Linked DNA regions of Arabidopsis thaliana. The protein of the gene in region 3 interacts with the protein of the main gene of each other region in a biochemical or structural test. Each region holds a gene or a part of one and is shown on either strand. Other genes may lie near its edges.

Region 1 (7,171 bases), on a different chromosome or scaffold from region 3:
TTTTTATCTTCTTTGATTTGTCTTCTGTAATAAAAAAGGAACAATAACTGATGATCTTCAGTGTGCATTTGAGCTCCATAGTCTCATGTATTCGTCTTCTTGTATAATCCATATTATTTTTTGTTCAAAGTTGACTAAAGACAGGTAAGAAGTCGAGGTTGATCTAATCTAAAAGCTTTCAAAACAGGTAAGCTAATTTATCTGACTTTTCAGATAAAATAATCAACTTGAGAGACTCTTAACGTATGGGTCTAATAAAACTGATTACTTAATTAACATGATAACTTATTTTTTACTTCACACACCATGTGCTTCTTCTAACAGAAAACTAAGTGTACTTCATATGGCCAGCTAATAGATCTCTGTTAAGTTCGAAGAACTATGTTTGCTTCTTCATGGAGTTGAGCCAAAGCTAATTGTTTGAAACCAAGACTTCTTGCAACATAGTCACGAATCATGCATTACCTCTAATACCTTAAAAGAAGGAGATTATATGAAACTAGATAGAATATTTGTTTGAGTTTCTGCCATTATGATAAACCATGGACCGTAAACATTAGCTCATTTCTCCTATATTACTTATTTTGAATGATACATCATGAAACCAAAACACTCAGGAGGAGATTAGATATGCATCCATATTTACAGCTTCAGAAAAGAGTTCAACAGAAGATGTAAATGGATGGATATTTCATCGTTACTGAAATTTGAAAACGAAAACAAAAGCGATAAGGAAAGTTACAAGCAAAGAACAACCAGTGACTATTTTATATCAAGCCAGACCCCTTTTCTTTTGGGGACTACTTGTTTGCTGCAGCGAGTTCCGCAGTGATAATGAAACTTGATTTCCCAGCTTGTCTCAAGTACTGAACATCTCCATTCATCAGCTTCACCAGTTTCCGGCTAACCATTAAGCTCAATCCTTCTTCTGACACATCTTCCTCAGTCCCAAACATTTGGTTTAGTAAAAACTCAGGTATCCCAGCTCCGGTATGCGTTAACCTGTTTTCATAATCCCAATATCCTCAATGCACTGTTTTTAACATCATATTATGCATTCTGATTATGAATATATCTATTTTACCTGATCTCTAGATTAGCAAGATGCACAGAACGCCCGAGCTGATCCTTCCTCAGGGAAGCTGAAACAGTTAGCTGACCTCCGGATGGTGTAAAGTTTACAGCCATCAGCATGAAATCTGCCAAGACTTGTTGAAGCCTAATACTGTCTCCATACAAAGTGTCAGACATTACTTCTTCTCCGGTCTCATTTGTTATCCGAACACTCTTTCCGTTACTCTTCATCATTACTTGACTTGTGGAAGCAGTCAACACTTCATTTAAGGTGAATTCTTTCATTTCCAAATCCAAGCATCTGCACAGTCAAATTCCAACATAAGAACACAGATAAACCATATTTTAAATGGACTTTCATTCTAGCATACCCTTCAATGATGCTTTCAAGATCCGAATCATCGAGGATCTTGCTTAGTTGCTTCTGACATAACGCGCTAGTTTGCAAAATCCGTCTTTGCTCTGGTCCTAATTCAGTACCCTCTATCATTTTCCTTGTAAACATGATCCCAGATAGCGGATTCCTGATCTGTCTTTTTATGTATGCTAGAGCCTTTAGTCTCTTCACTGCGGTTCGCTCAGCTAAACGTTGAACATGGAGCGCTTGCTGCAGCTCATGGCTGGCAAGTTGCAGGAAACAGAAGACACCTGTCACTACACCTTCCCTGTCCAGTTTCTTACTCACACACAACAGACACTCCACATACTTGCCACCTCTTGTAAAGAAAGCAAACGATACTTTCTCTGGATCTTGACTGGTCACAGCATTGTTCAGCACAATCCCAAGGTTTACAAAGGCTTCTTGATTCTTTAGACGACAACATGACTTCTGCGTCCCAAATACTTCTCCTAAGAGCATTTTGTCAATCACTTCCTCTCGCTTCAAACCGGTTAACTTTGACATTGCTGGATTCCACTCTGTGCACCATCCAAACTCATCGGTACCAAATATTGGCGGGATCAGCGGGTTTGGATTTTGGATGATTGCCTTGTAATCACCTTCAATCCGCGTAAACTTGTCCATCACAGTCTTCTGGCCAGTAAGATCATGGGCTACAAAACACACCCCAACCACGTTTTCATGGAGATCTCTACTTGCGCATGCATTTACAACTAAACTTATTGGCCCAGCATCAGCCCTGGACAGATGTGTCTTGATCTCAAACTGGACATTCTGCTCCTCAGTTCCTGCATAGATAAGCAAGTGAAGTTATAGACTCGGCTTCAGTGTTTGATAAAATTGGAAAACAAAATTCCATCATTAAGAACCAAAAACAACACATTGCATCAAGTTTCTTCGACCACGATACTCAATTGGAACTTGAATAGTGAAATCTAGTTGGAAGATTCTTAGCAAACTCAGCATAACTTAGGAAGAGAGTTTACCTTCTAATGCGTTCTCTAGCATCCTTTTAACGATTTCCACTGAAGAATCTTCAACAAGTGTGAGGAAATGCTTCCCGATTGCTTCATCAACCGAAAGACCAGTCAGCTCAGCAATTTTCGTGTTCCAACCATTAACCAGTCCATCAGAATCAACCGCCAATATTGGCACCGTAGCAGTCTCAATTAAACGAACCATCTCACTGGTCACAGCTTCTAGTTCTTGTATACCATCAATTTTGAGATCATTTAGCTTCGAGTAAATGACCTTTGTATTCACATCAGTAGTTTCACTATCCTTGAAAGCATTCCTCAAAATAAGTTGCAAGGAGTGTATGGCATCCATCTCATAGTCCTTCCAAGGTAAACTCCTTGTCTTGACCACTTCAAGGAAAGCCTTGAACGATGACCTTGGGTGCATTCTCCTTGCATCATCCCTATCATCTGGATCATGCTTCGCACCTCCCCATCTCACTTCACCAGCGGTATGAGAACGGAACCAGAAAATCATGTCTTTCGATGATATCCTCACAGCTGCCATCCCACATACCGAATCCCCGAGAGATAGAGCCCTAGGAAACCCGGCGTCATGCAAACTATCAGTGCTCAAACCCGTTGAATCCATGTGGTATTCACACAACCATGAAGCTATCTCCTGCAGGTGGAACTCACTTGGAGTTGTTCCCAGTTTCCATATCTTGTCTTTATACAAGAGAGCTGCTCCATCACATTTCACAAGGTCCATTATGTTGGGGCTTTGCGACACAATACCCAGTGGAGCATCACGCATCAGCATATCGCACAAGAGTGTCTGCGTGCGCAAAATGTTCTTCTCCACCATCTGGTTATCGAGTTCCACCTCCTTATTGACGTGTATGGCAAACACTTGAGCTAGAAACTCACAGGCATACCTGAGAGGAAATGGAACAAACCTCGGAGTCGTATTGTGACAAACCACTAAACCCCATAGTCTCTTTCTCTTTTGAGGCTGTGTAGTAGCATCAGGAGCATCCCCTTCTCCATCTTCCTCGTTAACTACAACCGCCATAACCAGAGATGCAATTGAATCCATGTTGGCCATGTACTGCAAATGGCAGCTGTGCGGTGCTCTAAGGGTGGAGCCACACAAGGTAAGGTCAAAGGAAAGCTTTTCATCTTGAAGCACCCTAGCATGTTTTGCATTGCAATCAACTATCATCCGGACCTTGTTCTTCATAAACAGAAAACGGGCTGCTTGAGGGATGTCGGTGGCAGGATAATGCAGCCCAAGATAAGGCTCCAGCCCAGGTTTTGTAACCTCGGAGACAACCTCACCGTGATCATCTTCATGAAACTTATAAGCCATCACCCTGTCATACCCCGTGAGTTCAAAAACCTCTTGAACCATTGTATCACAAAGCCTTTCCATACTCCCGCTGGGTAAAGATTGCAGCCTAGTGATTGCTTTGGCAGCGAGCTTGTATGATTGTAAGGCACCAGCAGCTGTCATGGGGACTTCATAAGGCTTCACGGGTTCAAAGTCGATGATGATGCTCCCTGTAACCCTGTGGATAATCGCATAAAAGGGCTTTGCAGAAGTCCTGCAGTGCACAAGAATGGGATTCAAAAGAGAGACATCTCCAAATCCAAGGGCTTTCTGCAATGCAGACGCACTAGGAGCAGTGAAAAGACTCCTTATATCTGTCCCAATGCCTAGAACAGGGTGTTCGCCAACACTAGGAACTGCATGACTGGCCATTGTCAACAGCTCAGATGCATTCTCGCTGTATGCAATAACTTTGAAGGTCTTCTCATCCAAGGCAAGTAAACAACCGAAGGGCTGAATCAGCTTTCCCTTCTGTATATGATGAAGATAAGTCGTGGTAACTTTGTCAGACCTTGGTGGCTGATTCTCCACAACCGGGCCAGTGACACGCACTGAGGTTGAGTAATCAAAGGAGCTGCCTGACTCCTCAAAATCAGCATGGAGTTTCGCATCTACAGTGGTCTGCGCAATGATCCTAGCGCTGTGCCTTGATCGCCTTGAGCCCTCAGAGGACTGAGTCGGCCTAGAGCCTGACATTTTTTTCCTGACACAGAGACAAGACAACAAAAAATAAGTGCAAAACTCTGATAAAAGAGGGAATAAAACATTCATGCCATAATCATATGAACACAAAAACATTCATCACCAGTCATACAAGCGAATGCATAAGCATAAACTTGAAACACTAAGAACCAATTCAGAATTTCAAACACACAGTAAAAAGAGTTATGAACTTGACTAACTCCATCGAGAATACATAGCTAAACCCAGAAACAGGACGCAACAGATGCAGGAATCATCGTGTCATATTCCAAGGTTCAATGATTTATCATTTTCAAAGTAACTGAACCAGTCAGATTCCATGAACACTTCCTTTCTAAGTCATCCTACAATCCAAAATCAACAACATCTTGACTATGAACAAGTCGCACAAATAATAGTTGATAGTTAACAGGGTAAATCCACTACACAAATACTAACAAAACGAGGATCTGAGCTAATATCAGCCTCTCAAGATTCAAACACAGCTACATACATAAAGTAGACTCAATAATAAACTCTTAAGAGTCTTTATAGCTAGCTATACCTTTCAAAAGGAACAATAAAGTCCCCACAGGGAAAGCAATCGTAGGAGTTAAAAGCGATAAAAGGATGAGATTAATTAATTGGATGCTTCTTCTCATAAATGATCACACACTATAAAAAGTTGAGTAAAACAAACACACATCAAGCCAGATCGAAAGAGACCTACAAAACCTTTATATCGCAGAAAACAAGAGGGTATTGATGACAACAGAGGATAGCTTTAAGAAATTAACTTCAAAGTTAGAATCAATTTCAGTAAGAAGAGTGAGACCAGTAGCTAGCTGGTAAGCTCCCAGCAGAAATCAATCGAAGCAAGCTTCAATATATATAGTTAAAAAAAGAAAAAAAAGGAGGAAACTTTGGGAAAAGGAAAGTAGGTACCTTTAAAGAGAAGAAAGAAGAAGAAGAAGTTTCAAGAAGCCATGATCAGATCTTGTGACTAGTCACACTCGTCAGAGGCTTTTTGTTATAGTTAAATTCTAAATCTTGGCCTCGATCACCACCTTCTCTCTTGTGCTACGCCTCTCTATTATTTGTGCTCCCTAACACAGACGACGACGATGAATGGGACCACCCCGAATACGTATGCCCATGTCTCGGAGTATGGGCGATTTGTATATTTTATAATGGAATAAAATAAAAGAAGAAAAAAGCTTAATTTGGATAAAAGACAAACTTCACACACATATCAAGAACAGGGTCGGCTTCGCCGGTAACATTTTCCTCGCTAAAACAGAACAGTGGGCTTAAGATATATCAAGTACTACTACTTGTAAATCTTGGCAACTTTCTGGGGAATATTAATTGATATTTTCACCGATGTGACTAAGACTGTGTAATGAGGAAAAAAGAAGTAAAGTGGAAGAAGAACAAAATGGGGTTGATTCTTATAAATCCGATTGAAGAGAATCGTCCAAAGGATAAGAGATCAAAAGTAAAAAAAAAAAAAAAGATTATTAATAAAATAAAAAAACGAGAAAGAGAGAGAGAAAGAAAGATGGTGGTAGTTGTTTAATGAAGGCAGTAACCAGAAGTAGAAAGTTGGGTTTTGAGGAAGACGACAACGATAGTCTTATGGGCTTCACGTTTTCTCGGCTTTTTGCGTTTTGTAATCTGTTTCTGGGATTTACTTCAAAGTTGGGACTTTCCTTTTTTGTATTTTTTTTTATCGTTGAAAGAAAGTAATAAAATTTGTAAAACTAATTTAAGTTTATTCGAAGAATTTAAATTTGTTTTATTTTTTATATAAAAAGGGTAAAAAAATCGTTATTAAGGTTTTATTTTTTTTTCGTCAAACAAAATCCATATCGTTTTAACATCATTGTCAAACTTCGATTCGTTCTTATCGCAAATCCACGTTACCATGTTTTCTTAGGTATTTTGCTTCTATCCTCTTAAAGTTAAATCTCCCCCTAAGTTTTTTGCAGTAAATCTCCGGAGAAGATCGAATCGACAACGTCTTATCTAGACAGCGCAATTCAGCATAGATATTGTGGCACAGCTATGTTGGACCAAAAATGTGCCTCCATAATGCAAATGTTGTCCTAGCAACACAGTATCATCCATTAGACATAGTCATGGCCCATGTTGCACATATCTGAATTGGCAAAAGGTACTAATCCCATTTCAGGAATAACACTTTGAAGAACAAAACAAATATGAGCTTAGGAGACTTCTTAATGGCCGGCCAAGAACGCTTCAATCACTAGGGATGTGATGGTTTGGAACTTTAAGGCGCCCTTTGAGAGCTATTTCATTTTCACTCTTTTGATATTGAACTCTCAAAACAACTGTTCATTACCATGTGTTTTCTCGGTTTTTAATGTGTGTATTTGTGTGAAACAAGGCCAATAATCTATATACGAAAATAAAGAAAATGGTTCTTTACACCAAAACTTCCGTATTAAAAAGAACATTTAAAATCTGTTATCGTCACTGTAATAAACAATGTCAATGGTTACTTATGTATAAGAAGTAGAAGAAGATGACGGAAAACAATCTTTGTCACTCTTTTGCAAGGACTGATCATCTTCTTCTTCAGTTTGATGAACCACCGGAGGACATGAAGAAAGTTTTTCATAATAATCAGTCCCTGCGACTCTG
Region 2 (5,362 bases), on a different chromosome or scaffold from region 3:
CTCCTAGTTATTTCTTCCTTTTTAAGATTCAAACACTTTTTGCATGTATTATGTGTTTTGAGATACAGTAAAACCTCTATAAATTAATAAAGATGGAAGTATGATATTTTATTAATTATAGTGATTAATAATTTATCTATAATTAATATATTAATTTAAATTTAAATTATTAATTTATAGAGATATTTGTTTTAATTTTTCAAATTTTAGAAACTATGAGATGTTATAAATTTTATAGTAATATAATTGAAAATTTAATATTTAAAAAGCTCATTTGACAATAAATCACAAAAACTATAATTGAAAATGATGCATACTAAGAAATTAGAAACTTACAAAACATTATGGCTAATTTTTTTACAAAGTTATAAACGATTCTATAATTTGACAATTGAAAACCCCAACATAATTCAATCAGACTTAGAGACAAAACAATTGTTTGATAGAATAAAAGTTAGAGACAAACTCTAACAAGATTCAATACTTAAAAGACATTAAAACCATATTTTTATATAAAGCTTTCCAAAAGATTATTATATTATTATTTTATCGAAGTTTGTTAATTTTTACATCGGCCCAACTCGGAATTTATAGAGGTTTTACTGAACTTTTGTTACAAACAATAGATTACAACATGTAGGAAGACTACTAGACTGATAGAAACCAAAAAGAGTCATCGCCTAAAATGGATATTGACGACAGAAGGTGGCATGAAAAGTGTTTGTTGAATAGAGATGGCAAGTGGTAAATGAGGATGGAACAAGAATGAACATATCTTCTTGCTTCGACCATCTGCAGTTCCACACTCTGGTCCTGTTCACCATTAGACAATCCTAACGTTAAATCATGTTCCGTGCGGTTTGGGTTTTCGTCATCTTAATATCTAAACAACTAAAACAACCAACCTGGTTTTATCTTGAATTTCAGGGTTTGCGGTTGCCTTCGAGATATGAACTTGATTGGGTTGTCTGAGGATTGCCTATGCCTATCTGCTGCGGATATTAACTGTAACCATATCCGAAATTAACTTAACTCAATCCTGAAGTTGAAGAGAATAAGGGTTTATAGAATGGTTACCTTTTCATCGAACCGGAAGAGAGACTGGTCGAAATATGGGGAGGGACTTTGTGACTGACAACTGAAAGGCAAAGAGAGTAACATCTTCTTCACAAACTGTATAGAAAAATTGATTAGATTCAACTCTCTCATAAAAACCAACATATCGAAATACAGAGATGTACTTACCTGAGAAAAACTGTTTGATTTGTTCTTCGTGTATTTTAGTTGTTCAAGGGCATAGACGTTGTTAGAATGCGATGTTACAAAGTTCATGAACGGTGTACTACTTGATACTGTAAAGTGATCACTGAACTGCTCAAATAATTGGTAAAGATCTTCTGCTGAGTTCTGCATATAGTAATGTACTAAGTCAAGTTATAAGTAGATGCAAATTCCACAAAATAACTGGCCAAAATGACATCCATTTTACCTGATAGAATGCTACAATGTCAGTAGTCTCCATATTATACACCGCGAAGAAAGCTGGATGATGATCAGCACTTCTTGTTACCTGAGTAACCCATCAACAATCATAAGTCTAATCAATCAAATTGTAATTTCTGAAAATGACAGTATCAGTTCAATGTAACCATGAATTTGTATTATAGAGAGCTTACCCCACCGTCTACACTTCCAAATTTGATTAGCAGGTGTTGTCGATCCAAAAACTGAACCTGGACATCAAGAATACACAAAAGATTAGTTTTTTTCACCATCAAATCCAAACACTTGACACAGATTCCAAAAGCAGAAACACATAATTGATTACCTTCCATATAATCAAGTCGACATAATCCTGGAAATGGAAATAAAACTTCTTCTTAAGACTTTGAACTCTCTGTCAAATCAAATAGTGCCTTTCGATTAGTTCGTATCCAAGATGTAGTGTTTCAATACGACACACATTGCAAACTACAACGAAAGGTCGAAAATGCAAAGAGCATGTATATGATAAGCTGCATCAACTAAGAAGTCACTGTCAACTGCATCAATCCTAAACCTTAAACTTCTGTTATCCTACTCAACATCTAACAGAGGAAGCCAAGCAGTACACAAACATAACCCATTTAATGTACAAGATTGTGAAACTCAGAGCAATTTCATAAAGTGATAAGAGAAGTTGAAGAACAACGAACCATTACGTTATCTGATTCTTCATTCCAAATCTCCCTGAAGATAAAAGAAAGTAACCGTTGCTTAACACCACTAAGAAACGAATTCGAACCACTTGGCTGACTTAGACTATGACGCAACCCATTCTCTCCAGTATCATCTTCCTTACTCCCAGATAAACTCTGCTGTTTACTCTTATCTTGACTCATCATTGCCTAACAATCAAAAACCTCACAAAGCTCAAAACTTTATCTACTCCAGAGAAAGATACTGTAAAAACTTTGCTTACCTGAGAGCTAGAATTGAGGAAAAGCTCATCATCTTCACGACAAAAGTAACCAATAGCACGAGCATCAACAAGATGACCAGAATCTCTAATCTGAAGAAGATGAATCCTCTGATAACGCAACGACAAAATCGCTAAAAGATCATCATAAAGAAACACACCCATATTATGAGCCAGATTAACGAAATCATGAAGAAAAACCCTCTCATCAAGAACAACACCATCATCTAATCGAAGAAGTACGAAAGTAATCTTATCAATGGAAGGAACACCAGGAACAGCGTCATTAGAAGGAGATGATGAATCATGGATCTGAGCTGTTGAAGTAGCGAAAAGACCGAAACGACGAGTTTGGTGATAGAGGAAGAAGTCTTTGCAGATGAGTTCGTTAGAAGAAGCGAGATTGACTGAGTAGAGTTGAGTGAAAAAGCTGTCGAATTTCGAAGCACGGCGAGGTAGAGGAGGTAGGGTGGTTGTGGAATCATCGGTTGTGGAGTAAGTGAGCCAAGAAGGACGATAGACTATGAGTTCTTGATGGTTACGGCTGAAACTAATGAGGAAGAGTCCGTCTTCTGTGAATTTGCGGAAACAGTGATCGGGAGATTCGACATCGTAGAGTGTGTAGCTTGGGACTAGGTTTTCGTAGAAGTGTCTTGCACGATTTACCTATCATTGAAGGTAAAGAGATAAGCAAAAGAGAGATTGAGATTGAGAGATTGAGACAGAGAGAGAGATTTGGGGACTGACGGAAGCGCCGGGAGGAGGAGTTCGAATCTGACGTTCGAAGACCCGAGCGGTGACGTTACCGCTTGTGAACATTTGTTGGCCCAGAAGGGCACGAATAAAGGAAGGTTTTTGGTCTGGTTTTAGTGGTGAAAATGGAGGAGACGATGTGAGTGAGAGAGAGAGAGAGAGAGATACTGTGGCTTTGTTTTGGTTCTGTTGATTTTTCTCTTTTGGGAGGTTGGTTTCTCTCAATCTGTTAATGGGCCTGATATTGGTGTTTGAAAATGGCCCAATAGTTGCAAAATTGGGTCATTGGCACTTATCGGTACTACTTCCTCTTTGTACAATTTCTCTTGTTGTATTGCTTTGCTTAGTCGGAGCTTAAGTATGGACATTCACATTTTGGATCGGATTTTGGATCGGATTCGGTTCGGATTTTCGGATTCAGATGGGAAAGTTTATTATCCGGTCGGGTTTTATGACTATTCGGTTTGGTTTCGGTTCGGATAGTGTCGGATTCGGATCGGTTTTTGAGAAAAAAAAATATATATTGTTCCGTTTTAATAAAATTGGTTTAATTTTGCAAAAAAAATTGTATAATTGTAACAAATATAACTTAAAAATTCGGACGTATAAACCTGTAACTAATATTTTTGTTATTTAGAAATTTTTGGGTATAAACCTGTAACTAATATTTTTAGATAGATATAATTTTATTTCGGATTAGCGGATATTTATTCGGTTTTTGATTCGGAATCGGATTCGGCTGAAGTAATTTGGGTAGGTGAATTCATTATCCGTTCGGATTTTGTGACTGTTCAGTTCGGTTTCGGAACTTTTTTCGGATCGGTTCCTATCTACCTACCATTTTTTACTTCCCATTTTGTTGATCGGTAACAACAAGAACTGCAGTGGCAATACACTTGTTGGAACGAATCATACAATCAATACACTTGTTGGTAAAGCCTTATGCATCTCAAAGCCAGCTTCTTTGCTAGTGAGGGCCTTACTTAGGGAACTTGAAAGAGGATTGAGTTTGAAGTTGAAGCTCAAACAATTTAAATCATATAAAGATGGACGTTACTGTATCGTGAAGTCACAAAGAACACTGAACAGAATCTAGAATCCGACTGTACATATTTCAAAGCTGTGACTAAAGCAATACATAAGCCAAATTATAACTTAAGAATGCTTCACATTACAATCAACATATTTTTTGCCTATTGGAATGCACAAGGGAATGTAAAGAATCGACTCTGTTTATCCGATTTTCTGTCTGCACAATCACGAACGTGTACACTCGATACCCCGACATATAGCCAACCAAATACCAAACAGTGTCAAGCAAATAGCTGCATCAATAGCAAGAACAATCTGAACTAACCGCCGCCATTTCCATTCAAAGCTTTGAGTAACAGAACGTCCACTACTCGACACACACTCCTTCTCCAACGACGTTCCAGCTCCCGCTGAATCATCGGTTATGTTCCCTCTATCATTAGACTTCCTGTGTTCCTCAAGCTCAATCACATGATCTTTCCCTTTCTTCTTCTCTTGCTTACTTAACCTCCCCAACAACGGAGCTTTAGTAGAATTCGAACCTTCGCTTTGTTCACCAAGATTACTACTCTTCAATTCATTGTTACTACTACTCTCAGCAACACGTTCAAGAGAAGCTATAAGTCTAGTAACAACAGGAACAAGCTGATCTTCAACATTAATAGAACCAATCATAGCAGTAAAACTTCCTCTAGAATTCTCCCTAGCAGCTTTCTTAAATTCATCTCTCAAATGTTCAAGAAACTTAAGAACACTAGATCTCTTCAAAACCTCATCAACAATGGCGAAATAAACAAACCCATCTCCAATTAAAAACCCAAATCTTCTTTTACCAATAGTTTCAAAGTACCAAGTATGAAAAGGAGGAGACTTTTCTAAACACAGAGCAGCAAGACTCTCGTTGGTTTGGTCTCCACCGTTGTAAGAGTAAAGAATCTGATTGTCTCTTGAGACACAACAGTAATGAACTGTGTTCTTGATTAAACCCATCTTTTTTTTTGTTTTTTTAAGAAATCAAATTGAGACAGAAGAGGAAAGAAGAGAAGTCTGTGATTAGAGCAAAGAAGAAGAGAGAAATTGAGATGATGGAGTCAGAGAGAAAGTCAAAGAGAAGAAGAA
Region 3 (4,775 bases):
ATTTCCACATTTATCATGAGGTCGGTGGAAGCGGCGGAGCAACAGTTATTTTAACCGCCGCAACAAGTCTTCAATTCTCCTTCCTCTCCGCCGCCAATCTGCCGACAAGTTTCTTTTCGTCTTAAGAAAATATATTGGGTCTCGTTTCGTACAACAAAGTGTAGTGTTTGGGCTTTACTCAGAAGCCCATAAGTATTTTATTATTATTTTTAGACAGTAAGGCCCAATAGTATTTTATTGTTACTGTCTGCGCTGAAACAATTTATGTTTTTCAGCAAAGTAATATCTTACTAATCAGTAATTACATACACCGTAACACCATCACGAATTTTCAGTACACGACAGAGTATAGGTATGATTGACTGACAACAATATAAAAAGGCTAAATTAGTTAGACTGTCTTATTAATTAAAAAGTAATATTGTACTATTACTATACTACTTCACTTAAATATTTATTCGACACACAAAAATAAACCATTCGTGTGAATGTTTCCCAAACACATTTGGGGCCGAAGCATTCGAGCGGGCGTACCACTCCAATTACCTGGTACACATAATTGAAGACTATAGTATGAAAATTAATGTTTTATGTTTTTGTCACCTAAATTTTTAATAAAATGCAGTTGCAGTTTGGTTGTCATTGTTCTGTTGATCCGTTCATTCCGCGTCCTGTATTTGGCTATCACAATTTCAATCTATGAAAATTTGAAATCCGTATGGTCAAAATTATATTTTAAAACCACATTGCTAGAGAATAATTAAAAAAATAATAATCTTCATGTGGAATTTATAGAAATTAATGATATACATTTCAGGAAAACTTAGCATGAAGTATATTATTTTAATGTGATGATTTTAGAAATACAAACCGAGACGCGGTATGGGATATGGTCCATTACAAGTAGGCACAATGGTCCACTAATAATTGTTATTACGACAACAGAATTAATTGCCTATTTAAAACGAAATGAATCATCGAAGAACATACTAGATCTTTTTCCAATTTACAACCAAAAAAAACATTATTAGGTGAGTAGTAAAAAGATTAAGGTTATCAGAAACTAACTGTAGTAGTATGTTGTGTGAAATTCTTTTGTATTTCTTATTAAGCCAAGGGTGCCCTTTCAATGCAACGTGATAAACGCCAAAAACGATGATATGAACAATTATAAACTCGTTGAGAGCATTGAACTCGGATAATAAATCATCTTTTATATACATCGTAGATAACAAACAAACACGTAATTAAATTTGACGTATAGCAAAAGACTTGAAGAATAAAACGTCAAGTTAAAGATAATTTTGGTATATATGAGAAAGGTATCGACAAAAACCATAACGCTATAGATGATTGTGATTTGACAAAAACACCCTCAAATCATTGTTTTCAGAGTTTTTTTAGATAAGGTACAGATAAGAAACCACCTCTAAAAATCAAGCAATAGATCTCATCGCTTAAAAGAAGAGAGAGATCTTCACTTGTATGTGTCCCACTGATTCCAACACAATGTCCCAGAACTTGCCACGTGTCGTTCATTTCAAAAGATTGCAGTACTGTTGTCCCTAGAGAATCATTATCTCCCTCGCTGTAATATCTTTATGCTCCTGTCACTTTCTGTCTGTACCCAAAAGAAGTAATGAACCTCTCTCATCTTCTTCTTCTCTGTTTCTTTCATGTTTTGTGAGTTGTTTCTCAACAATTTTCTGGTCTCTTAGAGTGAGAGGAGAGAGATAGAGAGTTGTGTTGGGCGTGGAACTTGGACTAGTTCCACATATCAGGTTATATAGATCTTCTCTTTCAACTTCTGATTCGTCCAGAAGCTTTCCTAATCTGGTCAGTAGTACTCTTTTTATACGGGTTTTTGGTTTTATAAGATGTGGCTATATTTGGAAATAACTATTTTGCAAGCTTTCCTAGATTGCCAGAATATAAAAAAAGATGTTTAACAAGAGAACGGACTCATGGACTTGCTTTAAATTTTAATTATTTTAAAATCATTCTATAATGATTAGAGTAAATAAACTATTAGGACTCTGAATTATAAAATTCGATTTTATATATGCTCCTCCTTGTATCTCTTAATCATAAGTTATCATTAGCTCTGTTCACTAGTGCTATAAAATATATTCTGAGGTTAATAAAACTTTTTTTTCTTTTTATTTTGAAATGTCTCCAGAGATCTGACATGGAACACCAAGGTTGGAGTTTTGAGGAGAATTATAGTTTGTCCACTAATAGAAGATCTATCAGGTATTATTTAATAATCTTTGATCTAATGTTTTCATTCATTAAAAAAAAAACTTTATAATATAGTCTGTGTGTGTGTGTATTGATGTCTAGGCCACAAGATGAACTAGTGGAGTTATTATGGCGAGATGGACAAGTGGTTCTGCAGAGCCAAACTCATAGAGAACAAACCCAAACCCAGAAACAAGATCATCATGAAGAAGCCCTAAGATCCAGCACCTTTCTTGAAGATCAAGAAACTGTCTCTTGGATCCAATACCCTCCAGATGAAGACCCATTCGAACCCGACGACTTCTCCTCCCACTTCTTCTCAACCATGGATCCCCTCCAGAGACCAACCTCAGAGACGGTTAAGCCTAAGTCCAGTCCTGAACCTCCTCAAGTCATGGTTAAGCCTAAGGCCTGTCCTGACCCTCCTCCTCAAGTCATGCCTCCTCCAAAATTTAGGTTAACAAATTCATCATCGGGGATTAGGGAAACAGAAATGGAACAGTACTCGGTAACGACCGTTGGACCTAGCCATTGCGGAAGCAACCCATCACAGAACGATCTCGATGTCTCAATGAGTCATGATCGAAGCAAAAACATAGAAGAAAAGCTTAATCCGAACGCAAGTTCCTCATCAGGTGGCTCCTCTGGTTGCAGCTTTGGCAAAGATATCAAAGAAATGGCTAGTGGAAGATGCATCACAACCGACCGTAAGAGAAAACGTATAAATCACACTGACGAATCTGTATCTCTATCAGATGTATGCTTCCTTTAATTCTAACTCATGATAATTACTTCTTGAAAACGTAATCTTGGTCTATCTCAGAGAGTAATACATAATACATTTTGCAGGCAATCGGTAACAAGTCGAACCAACGATCAGGATCAAACCGAAGGAGTCGAGCAGCTGAAGTTCATAATCTCTCCGAAAGGGTACTTCATCGGTTCGTCTATATAATATATAATATATAGTTTAATGTTAGAGAATCGTATAACATTTATACAAAGAAAACAGATACAAAACTCTGTTTTTTATTTTCTTCTTTTCATAACTTAAATAGAGGAGGAGAGATAGGATCAATGAGAGAATGAAGGCTTTGCAAGAACTAATACCTCACTGCAGTAAAGTGAGTTGATACAAATCAAATCTAAAAGTGAATCAGATTAAGAAATGAAGATTGATTCATTCATTGGTGTGTTTTTGCAGACTGATAAAGCTTCGATTTTAGACGAAGCCATAGATTATTTGAAATCACTTCAGTTACAGCTTCAAGTGATGTGGATGGGGAGTGGAATGGCGGCGGCGGCGGCTTCGGCTCCGATGATGTTCCCCGGAGTTCAACCTCAGCAGTTCATACGTCAGATACAGAGCCCGGTACAGTTACCTCGATTTCCGGTTATGGATCAGTCTGCAATTCAGAACAATCCCGGTTTAGTTTGCCAAAACCCGGTACAAAACCAGATCATCTCCGACCGGTTTGCTAGATACATCGGTGGGTTCCCACACATGCAGGCCGCGACTCAGGTAAGGCCAATACGAAGCCGTGTTTATTAAACGACGATTTTGGTAAAATGTTTTTTGGGTTTACTACATTAATACGAGATAAGAAAAAATGTTAAACCGACGTAGTTTTAGTTGACACGTTGTGTGGTTTTTTATTAGATGCAGCCGATGGAGATGTTGAGATTTAGTTCACCGGCGGGACAGCAAAGTCAACAACCGTCGTCTGTGCCGACGAAGACCACCGACGGTTCTCGTTTGGACCACTAGGTTGGTGAGCCACTTTTTTACTTCCTTATTTTTGGTATGTTTCTTTTTTATATCTATCTTTCTGAACATACTTAAAACGTTCAAGGATGTATTATTATAGAGTAAACGTGCAACTTCATTACGTTATTTTCTGTATATGTGAGTTTATGTATGTCAAAATGACATGATGAGATTTTTTGTAAACAACATCTTAAAAACAGGACATGTGATTTTTGTAATCGTAAAAACTTTGGGATGCAGTTTATTTTCTAATCAAAACAAGGATATATCTAAGTAATCGAAATTTTTTTCGAAAATAGAACTAGATGACACTTATAGATTATAGATCACACCTAATTTTGAAGATGTATCTAAAAGTCCATTCAATTTTTCTCTGTTCCCCTAATAAGAAATCATATGTTCATATTCAAAAAATAAGAAACACAAAAAAAAACTTTAAGAAAAACACAGATGATCAACCGTCTGGCTAGAGTTTGGTAAAATATTAATATCTTATGATTTCATATTGTTCCATAAATAAATAAAAAATCATAACATAAGCTTTTCTTGCTGATTGTCTAAAATTATGTATAGATGGAAAAAGCCAAATCACATGTGATGGAGCCAGATTTGAGTGAGAGTCATGTGTCAATTGTCAAAAACATCGACATTATAAGTCTTTAAGCCATGTGCATACTGGTCAGAATCTATTTAGCAATAATTGAGTTAAATATCTTAGATATTTTTGCATACTGTTTTCATATATAAATTTATTCCAAAGTTTGAA

What was found.
Region 1: the proteins of PIF4 (region 3) and PHYA form a complex in vitro, tested with the Arabidopsis thaliana proteins (one study listed by BioGRID).
Region 2: the proteins of PIF4 (region 3) and DET1 form a complex in vitro, tested with the Arabidopsis thaliana proteins (one study listed by BioGRID).

The regions. Positions count from the first base shown.
Region 1 is NC_003070.9:3,094,698-3,101,868, forward strand, and holds PHYA (phytochrome A), read right to left. Parts: upstream 5,134-7,171; 5' UTR 4,731-5,133; coding exon 4,726-4,730; intron 4,527-4,725; coding exon 2,461-4,526; intron 2,263-2,460; coding exon 1,446-2,262; intron 1,376-1,445; coding exon 1,085-1,375; intron 1,003-1,084; coding exon 801-1,002; 3' UTR 506-800; downstream 1-505. Other genes in the region: AT1G09575 (calcium uniporter-like protein (DUF607)), read right to left, coding at 7,154-7,171. UniProt on the Arabidopsis thaliana protein: Regulatory photoreceptor which exists in two forms that are reversibly interconvertible by light: the Pr form that absorbs maximally in the red region of the spectrum and the Pfr form that absorbs maximally in the far-red region.
Region 2 is NC_003075.7:6,344,458-6,349,819, reverse strand, and holds DET1 (light-mediated development protein 1 / deetiolated1 (DET1)), read right to left. Parts: upstream 3,410-5,362; 5' UTR 3,278-3,409; coding exon 3,206-3,277; intron 3,125-3,205; coding exon 2,462-3,124; intron 2,388-2,461; coding exon 2,196-2,387; intron 1,898-2,195; coding exon 1,829-1,897; intron 1,734-1,828; coding exon 1,677-1,733; intron 1,571-1,676; coding exon 1,490-1,570; intron 1,408-1,489; coding exon 1,246-1,407; intron 1,174-1,245; coding exon 1,078-1,173; intron 1,006-1,077; coding exon 906-1,005; intron 814-905; coding exon 674-813; 3' UTR 506-673; downstream 1-505. Other genes in the region: AT4G10170 (SNARE-like superfamily protein), read right to left, coding at 4,469-5,233. UniProt on the Arabidopsis thaliana protein: Component of light signal transduction machinery. Involved in repression of photomorphogenesis in darkness by participating in the CDD complex, a complex probably required to regulate the activity of ubiquitin conjugating enzymes (E2s).
Region 3 is NC_003071.7:17,884,815-17,889,589, forward strand, and holds PIF4 (phytochrome interacting factor 4), read left to right. Parts: upstream 1-1,983; 5' UTR 1,984-2,062; coding exon 2,063-2,253; intron 2,254-2,343; coding exon 2,344-2,998; intron 2,999-3,090; coding exon 3,091-3,171; intron 3,172-3,299; coding exon 3,300-3,365; intron 3,366-3,445; coding exon 3,446-3,763; coding exon of another isoform or gene 3,764-3,793; exon of another isoform or gene 3,794-3,901; coding exon 3,902-4,009; 3' UTR 4,010-4,273; downstream 4,274-4,775. UniProt on the Arabidopsis thaliana protein: Transcription factor acting negatively in the phytochrome B signaling pathway. May regulate the expression of a subset of genes involved in cell expansion by binding to the G-box motif.